Linked DNA regions of Rattus norvegicus. The protein of the gene in region 1 binds, or shares a complex with, the protein of each later gene. Links are inferred from orthologs where the notes say so. Each region holds a gene or a part of one and is shown on either strand. Other genes may lie near its edges.

Region 1 (4,597 bases):
CTGACTGTCCTTTCGTTTCCAACAGGACCTGAGCTGAGGATATCCACCACTACAGTGAAAGCAGTGTGCCCGCTTGTCTTTGGGGATGAAGAGAGTCAGGTGCCAGTCTCATAGTCTACACAGGACTTTGCTCTGTCCTTAAATCAGTACCACAGGAAGGAAGACCTTATGGTCTCACCTAAGATACCAAGGCTCAGCTGGGGGTTGGGGGGAGGCATGGGCCTTTAACCTAAGTACTAGGGAGGCAGAGGCAGGTGGATTTCTGTAAATTTGAGACCAACCTGATCTACAGAGCAATTTCTTAGGACAGCCAGAGCTACACAGAGAAACCCTGTCTAGAAAAAACATAAAATGGGGGGGGGGGCTCCCTGAACACTGGAGACAAGCTGATAGTCACACTGTGAGTGGGACTCGTGGAGCCTAAACCAGATGCCAGGGCAGAGGATGCCAGATCTCTCTTTATCCACAGCACCAGGTTGCCTAAGAATGTGGCAACAGGGAGCCTGCTAGGCAAGGCTAGCCAAGGTCAGGAACCCGACACAACTGAGGCCCTCCCATGTCCCTTGTCCCTCACCTCTGACCGCTTGAGACAAATGTCCAAGACAGAGGAGTCATGTGCTAGCAGAGATGTGTTTCTACCCATACCACAGGTAGGCCATACCTGCAGACCAAGTATGTGGTGGGGGGTGCCTCTTAGCCACCAGTTCTGGGAAATTCACACTTCGGCTGCACAATTGATCCAGGGGAACAAACAAAGATGACTTTGAGGTCAGATGCACCTGTGCTCTGTCCCCGTCGGAGTGACTTTGAGTAGGTCACTTCACCTCCAGAGTGTCACAGAGTAAGAATGAAGTCTTCAGTGTTACAGTGGACCGAGACCCACACCAAGTGTGTGGGGGTGGGGGGGTTGGGGGGGTCCTTACTAAATGTTAGCCATGTAGGCCCTCGGTTTTGCAAGGGCAGATCCAGCCTCTGTGAAGCTATGGGAATGCAGGGTGGGAGCAGGGGCTCTGAAAGGTCTTCTTCCCAAAGGGGTTCATGTCCTGGAGTCCCAGGAGGGCAGCCTCCTAGACTGTACAGTGAACAAAGTCCCCCAGGGACCTGGCTCCCTTCCCTACAGCCTGTTCCTTACCGACAACAGGAGCAGAGCCCCAAGGTTAGGCAAACAAAGCAGCGATAAGCCACTTCCAGGCTGGGTATTGTATTCAAGGCTTTAGCCAGCTCCCTGGCTGGCTCCTTGGCTCTGTGAGAACCCTGGTCTTGTGTACATGAAAACGGCCACCAATAGAAACAACAGTCACGGCCAGCCCCTGGCTGGTTGAACGCCTGAGACCTTGGTGCCCTGGTACAGCCTGGGTTAATAACCCTGTTTATACACTTGAGTCATCCGATAAAGGGCATCCAGGCAGTGGGCAGGTGGCCCTGTGCCCTGCAATGGCCACTTCATTGACTAAAGCGATAGCAAGGCCACGTGGAGCTTCCAGTGCCCCTCCCCCACCACTTCTCCACCAGTCCTGCCAGGGTCAGCGTGTATGCATTGTGTGTGTGTGTATGGTTTTTTTTTTTTTTTTCAATGAACATGACTTCTGGAGTCAAGGTTGTTTGGCCAGTCCCCCTCCCGCCCATCAAGGATATAAATAGCACTCCGTAGAGAGGGCCACAGAGCCAGGAAGAAACAGGAACAAGACACAGACCATGAGCTCCAGCCAATCAGGGGTCTGCCCATGCCAGGGCTCTGCAAGCCACCCCACCATTCTCTACACACTTCTAAGCCCCGGTCCCAGGACCAGGCCCATGGCACCCGCATCTCGCAGCCACTGCCTGTGCCAGCAACACCGGCCTGTGCGCCTGTGTGCTCCACACCGCACCTGCAGGGAGGCCTTGGATGTCCTAGGCAAGACTGTAGCCTTCCTCAGGAACCTGCCGTCCTTCTGCCTCCTGCCCCATGAGGATCAGCGACGGCTGCTAGAGGGCTGCTGGGGCCCTCTCTTCCTGCTTGGGTTGGCCCAGGATACTGTGACCTTTGAGGTGGCCGAGGCTCCGGTCCCCAGCATACTTAAAAAGATCTTGCTAGAGGAACCCAACAGTGGTGCCCAGGGTGCCCAGCCACCAGACCCACCACAACCCTCACTGGCTGCCGTGCAGTGGCTGCAGCACTGCCTGGAGTCTTTCTGGAGCCTTGAGCTGGGTCCCAAGGAGTACGCATACCTGAAAGGCACTATCCTCTTCAACCCAGGTGAGCTTCCAGACACTCCTGGATGGTGGCCAAGGTGGGAGGGGACAGGGCTCATCCAGGGAAAGTGCTTTCTTGGGACTTGGCATCCATTGTACCTTTGGGTCCTTTTTAGCCTCAAAAATAGATACCTCGGGTTGGGGATTTAGCTCAGTGGTAGAGCGCTTGCCTATCAGGCGCAAGGCCCTGGGTTCGGTCCCCAGCTCCGAAAAATAGAAAAGAAAAAAAAAAAAAATAGATACCTCATAGGAGAGGCACAGAGAGGTTAAGCCACTACCTGAAGGTCACACAGCTGGGACTGCAGACCAAGCTAATGCAGAGACTACTTTTTGCCATGGTTCCTGAAATTTGGCCTGCATCTTAGGGAGTGTGGGAGGGTAGATGGGGTGGGGACATGGCTGCTTGGCAGATATATCTTCAAAGCCAGGCTGCATAGTGAGGTTCTGAAGGTCCACCGTGGGTTCAGGGAGGCCACTCAGAGAAGAAGAGAGAGAGAGTATGGGAGTGGGGTGAAGTCAAGCCAGGAGAAGAGTGATGGGGTGACAGGGAGAACTGGGACACAGTCTCACCATGTCACTCTGGCTGGTCTAGAACTCACTGCGTAGACCAAGATGGCCTAGCTTGGGAGAATAATCCTCGTGGCTTTGAGGAAGACAAGAGACGGACCTTGAAATTAAAGTACGATGTCACGTCATAGGAGTAGGCGTCCCAACTAGTCCCATGACATCTACCATATGTTAGGACTCAGTCTAAGGGCTTTACAAATATTGGTTTGCTTAAACCTCATAACAGGTGTGGGTGACCAGAACTGTCATTATCCCCACTTGACAGATGAAGAAGTTGAAGCACAAAGATTAAAGTACTCATTTAAGGAAGGTCACTCAGAAAGATTAAATTACTTACTCAAGGTCACTCAGCCAGTAAGTGGCTGCACTGAGATTCAAACCCTGGTTTTTTGGTGGGTTTGTTTTTGTTTTTGTTTTCTGTTTGTTAGGTTTTTGGGTTTTTTTTGTTTTTGTTTTGGGGTGGTTTGGTTTTTGGTTTTAAGATTTATTTAGGGACTGGAGAGATGGCTCAGCAGTTAAGAGCACTGACTGCTCTTCCAGAGCTCCTGAGTTCAAATCCCAGCAACCACATGGTGGCTCACAACCATCTGTAATGGGATCTGATGCCCTCTTCTTGTGTCTGAGAAAAGCTACAGTGTAATCGTATACATAAAATAAATAAATCTTAAAAAAAAGATTTATTTAGCCAGGTGGTGGTAGCATTTAATTCCAGCATTGGAAGGCACTGGGATCTCTGAGTTCAAGCCCAGTCAGAGAACTAGTTCCAGGACAGCCAGGGCTACACAGAGATGCCCTGTCTTTAAAAAAAATCAAATGAAAAGTAAAAATAAAAAGATTTATTTATACATTACTTTATGAGCTCCTACATGCGTGTGCATATGTACACATCACCTGTCAAGGAGATGTCACAAAGATGTCAGAAGAGGGCGTCAGATCCTCTGAAACTAGAGTTCTAGGGACTTGTAAAGCACAACATGGATGCTAGGAACTGAACTCAGGACCTCTGGAAGAGCAGTCAGTGCTGTTAACCACTGAGCCATCTCTCCAGCCCGTGTGTCTTCGTCATTACATCCACATTATCTGCTTGCTCTCCATAGTGGATGGATGGATAAGTGGTAAATAGTGAAGGAGACAGTGGGTGGGGCCTCCGAGGTGGCAGAGGGGACCAAGGCATGGACTCATCAGTGAAGAGATTGCCTCACAGACCTGGATTTTATTCCCAGCGCCCGCCACAAAACCGTCCTCTAACTTCCTGGCTTTACGAGCTGAGGATGTACTTCCCTAGTATGTTTTTTATATACATTGTCACTGTCTTCAGACACACCAGAAGAGGGCATCAGATCTCATTACAGATGGTCGTGAGCCACCATGTGGTTGCTGGGATTTGAACTCAGGACCTTTGGAAGAACAGTCGGTGCTCTTAACCACTGAGCTATCTCTCCAGCCCACTTCCCTAGTATGTTAAAGGGGCTATCAACATGCAGCCCAATGGTGGAATGTCTGCCTAGTGCACACTAGCATTCGCAAGGCCCTGAGTTGCACCCCAGCATACGAGGGAAGGGAACTGCTAACATTCTCCCACCCTGGGCAAACCTCCACAGACTTAGATGCTCACCGGCCCTCTTTACCCTCTCTGCCACAGATGTGCCAGGCCTCCATGCCTCCTGCCACATTGCACACCTGCAACAGGAGGCTCACTGGGCATTGTGTGAAGTCCTGGAGCCCTGGTACCCAGCTAGCCAAGGCCGCCTGGCCCGAATCCTCCTCATGGCTTCCACCCTCAAGAACATCTCCTGTA
Region 2 (3,807 bases), on another chromosome or scaffold:
GTAAGCATGAATGCATATGCAGGTGTGTGTCTGTGTCGCTGAGCATGGCCACTGAAGGCCAGGAGTGGGCATGGGTGTGCAGCATGAGTACCATAGCTTCAGGGAACAGGTAACTGTGTGACAGAGTGGAAGAGAGAGAGAGAGAGAGAGAGAGAGAGAGAGAGAGAGAGAGAGAGAGAGAGAGAGACTCACAGAGAGAGAGAGAGAGAGAGAACAAGTAAGGTGGTAATGAACCAGCTCTTGTATGGTGGCCATTTCCTGTGCTCAGCAGAACCACCCACACTGCCTCCTCCCCTGCCCCAGGGAAGGGCACTTGTCAAAGTCAGCTATGCAAGAACAGTCCGCACTACAGGGCTGAAGGCAACCCCTTTTAAAGGAAGTATCCTTCAGCTCCCAGTGCTCCCACTACCTGATGCCTGCCCCACTGCCACTAAAGATGGGGCCAGCCAGCCACGGGTGCTCAGCTTGGTTCAACAAATGGAACAATGCTGGCAAAATGGTGGCCAGAGGCTCAGTGCTTGACCCAAGTCACTGATCAGAACCTTCTGCCCTGTACCCTTTCACCCAAGCCCCTGTCTCCCTCTCTCTCTGCCGGCCTCTCTGACCTGCCCTCTGCCGGTGCAGGTGGAGCTGAGCACGGTGGCTGTGCAGGCTGGCTCCCTGCTGCACAGCCTGGTGCTGCGGGCACAGGAGTTGGTGCTGCAGCTGCATGCCCTGCAACTGGACCGCCAGGAGTTTGTCTGTCTCAAGTTCCTCATCCTCTTCAGCCTCGGTGAGTGGCCTCTGGAGGCTCTGCAGTGGAGGGTGGTAAAGACATTGGGGTAGTACTGTGGTTAGAGAACCCAAGGGACAAGGATCCTCCTTTAGTGAGTGTTATAAGGGCACATGGCCAGGGTCTGGGTGCTCCCTGGAGGGCCATGGTTTCTCAGTGTGAAATCCCAAAGACCGAGATGTTGTCGGTGTTTTGCTTTTTATGGGGTGGAAACCTTTCTGAACATCTGATTTGTTTCTGACCAATCACGACAGAAATTGCTCTTCATACCCAGCACACTTAAATGCCTGCTGCGTTTAGGACTCTTTCTTCCCTGACTCCCATCCTGGGGTCCCTGTTTTCCCTAATTCCCTGAACTACAGGGACCCCCTGTAGTTCTGACGCTAGATCCCTTCTCCTGTACATTCATTCATTCATTCTGCAAACACCCGCTGAACACCTGCCTGGTGCCAGGGACTGGAGGCAACGTAGCCAATGGGAAAGACCCCAACTACTGCCCTCAGAGCCATGCACTTGGGGGAACAGCAAGTGTCTTATAAAGGGAGGAATACATAGATGGGGACTACATAGCAGCTAGATGCCACAGATATGAAGGTATGCCTCAGAGAGCCCAAGTCCTGGGATAGAAAGCTTGGAGGAGCCTTAGTGTATGAGTTGGATGGAAGATTCCGCAGCAGGGAAGCAGTTATGGGATGGGAGGGAAGAGAGAATGGAGACCTGTCTTTGCAGCAGTCTGGCAATGATGCTACCTAGAGTGTAGGAAGTATTTGGAAACAGAGAGAAGAAGGGAGCTGGAGAGAAAGCCCAGTACTCAGGCAGAGTTGGGCTACTTGCCACATCCATGTGGCAAGGGACAAGGGCCTGGGGACTCTCAGCCTGGCTAGTGCTCTAGAGAGTGTTAGGAAATGACCACAATGAAGTAGCCACCTTAGAGTGTAGCACAGCCTTAGGGGCCCTGGTCAGGATTGGGAGAATCTTGGGTGGGGGTGCTCAGCAAAGAGGACCTCTCAGCACCAGTCAGAGCCCCAGCATGACTCCCTTAAGGGAGCCCCACAGTCCCCTTTCTCCTACAGCCAAAGCTACTAGGTCCAGTTGGATGCTGGCCTCCCTATTTCTCTAGGGGCTAGGCTCAGTGGTGCCTTGACTTGGGGCAGTTCAGAGCCACCCTCCCAGCCCATATGCTAACTTCCCCTCCAGTAACTTGGAGAGATCAGTGCTAGAGTGGGGAGCATGGGAAGAGTCTCTGTATAAGTACATGGCTGCCTGGTTTCTACTCTGATCCCTCTGGCTTTGTGCAATTGAGCAAGTCACTCTCCAAGCCTCTATTTCCCCATGTGTGAAATGACATCCGTAAGTGTCCTTGACATACTGCAAGGGTACAATGAGGTAATTCTACCACGATCTTGGCCCTCAGAAGCATGTACTGATGTTCTTTATTAATCATCCTTATTAAGTCCATAACCAGATGAGCCAGAGTGACTGAACTAACCAGGCCACAGGCTCAGTCTTTATTAATGGTTTGTGTCTGGCTGAGGGCTTTATTGTCTCGGGTCTGGCCATGGTGTCTGAGGAGTTCTTAGCTCGGTGGGCCTGAAGTTGAGTTGAGGTTAGGGATGTCAGAGGCACAGGAGACAGTGATTCTGGGACCTCAACCTACTGGAGCCTAGAATGAGGGAACAATGACAGACACACACTGGGGCACAGAGTCCTTGGAAAGAGGCTTCAAGTTGGGATAGGAGGTGAGCAGTCCAGTATGACCAGAGTCGGGGCAACCCTACTGGGTTGGGATGCAGGATGAGGTGCGTACATCTGAGCTGGGCCTTGCAGTGTGAATAGGAGTGTTCTGGTGAAACAAGCAGAAGAAGCAGCCTGTTGGAAGTTATGGGGAGGGGAATGGGTGGAGAGGAGTCCACAAGGTAGACCCAGGATGAACTGTGCATGACCTCGGTTATTGGGCACCTTGAGCCTTCCTCTGGAATGGATCCCACTCTGGGGATAACCTGACCACCTCACATTTGCATATCACCATCTAAGGCCCTTCCGGCTCCAGCCTGGGGTAGGATAGTAGGTTGATAGCTCAGAGCCCTGCAGCAGGCAACTCCTGTATTTGGGTGATGGTGGATGGCCCTCTGACTCTGAAATGCAGGGCTCCTCGTCAGAGCTGAGCTTTCAGGAAAACTAGAACTCAAGGCAGGGCTGGTCACCTGTCCACAGACTTCCAGTCCGCCTGCTCGTGGCACCCTCAGCATCACCGCCCTGGGCTGGGCCGCCTCAAACCCAGGCAGTAACTGTCACCCACCCCCCACCCTGTCCCCCTCTACACACCTCCTTCTCGCCTGTCTCTGCAGAAGGGTGCCATTTGGCGTCTAAATAGCATCTCAGGCAGCTCAGAGGCAGGTAAGGAGGCTTAATTAAAATTAGTGCCTCTCTCCTGGCAATCGCAGTGTTTATGAAGATGGGCCCGGCCGGCATTGTTCCGCCGAGGACTTAATCGAAGCTTAATGGATTGACCTAACATTCGATTTCCTGATTCCCATTGAGGTGCACGGCAGCATTCCCTTAAGCGTTTGCAATTTACCCACCGCTCCAAGCCAACAAAAGACGGACTGAATAGCAGTGCCACTCGAGGGGCCATTGTGAGCGGGGGCGCCTGCCTGAGTCACTGCTATTGGGACAACATTCTTTATGCCTCGCTGGAATGAAAGGATTATTCAAATATTCAATTAAACCGTGAAAAGGGGGCTTTTCTGAGATCCTGGGGGCCCCCAGCTCATGGAGCTAGCGGCTGCTCCCAGGGTGGGGTGCCATCTCCCATCCCCTCCACCTCCAGGGATGTGGGCAGCACTGTCTGTCCTGCAGGCTCAGGCCCCAAGCTGGTACTCGGCAAGGGTCCCAGTCCTGACCTGCCCCATCTTATAAAAGATAGGTTCCGAGGTGGCGTCTGGTTGCAGAGCTGGGGTGTGAACCCCTTGACATGCAAAGGGGGAATCTCCAGGTTGCGGGATGATCCCTGTTCCCGAATCTGAGGGCATGCT

Evidence for each region.
Region 2: the proteins of Nr0b2 (region 1) and Nr5a1 are in contact, whole or in part, in a crystal structure (PDB 1YMT), measured with the Mus musculus proteins. The link is inferred for Rattus norvegicus from reciprocal best matches to the Homo sapiens genes NR0B2 and NR5A1. Residues at the interface, in NP_035980.1 of Mus musculus: Thr19, Ile20, Leu21, Tyr22, Leu24, Leu25, Ser26; in NP_001303616.1 of Mus musculus: Ile275, Val278, Arg282, Phe287, Val292, Gln295, Met296, Leu299, Gln300, Asn450, Leu452, Glu455, Met456.

What each region holds. Positions count from the first base shown.
Region 1 is NC_086023.1:151,061,499-151,066,095, forward strand, and holds the start of Nr0b2 (nuclear receptor subfamily 0 group B member 2), read left to right. Parts: upstream 1-1,661; 5' UTR 1,662-1,695; coding exon 1,696-2,236; intron 2,237-4,441; coding exon 4,442-4,597. UniProt on the Homo sapiens protein: Transcriptional regulator that acts as a negative regulator of receptor-dependent signaling pathways. Specifically inhibits transactivation of the nuclear receptor with which it interacts.
Region 2 is NC_086021.1:42,878,930-42,882,736, reverse strand, and holds part of Nr5a1 (steroidogenic factor 1), read left to right. Parts: intron 1-624; coding exon 625-772; intron 773-3,807. UniProt on the Homo sapiens protein: Transcriptional activator. Essential for sexual differentiation and formation of the primary steroidogenic tissues. Binds to the Ad4 site found in the promoter region of steroidogenic P450 genes such as CYP11A, CYP11B and CYP21B.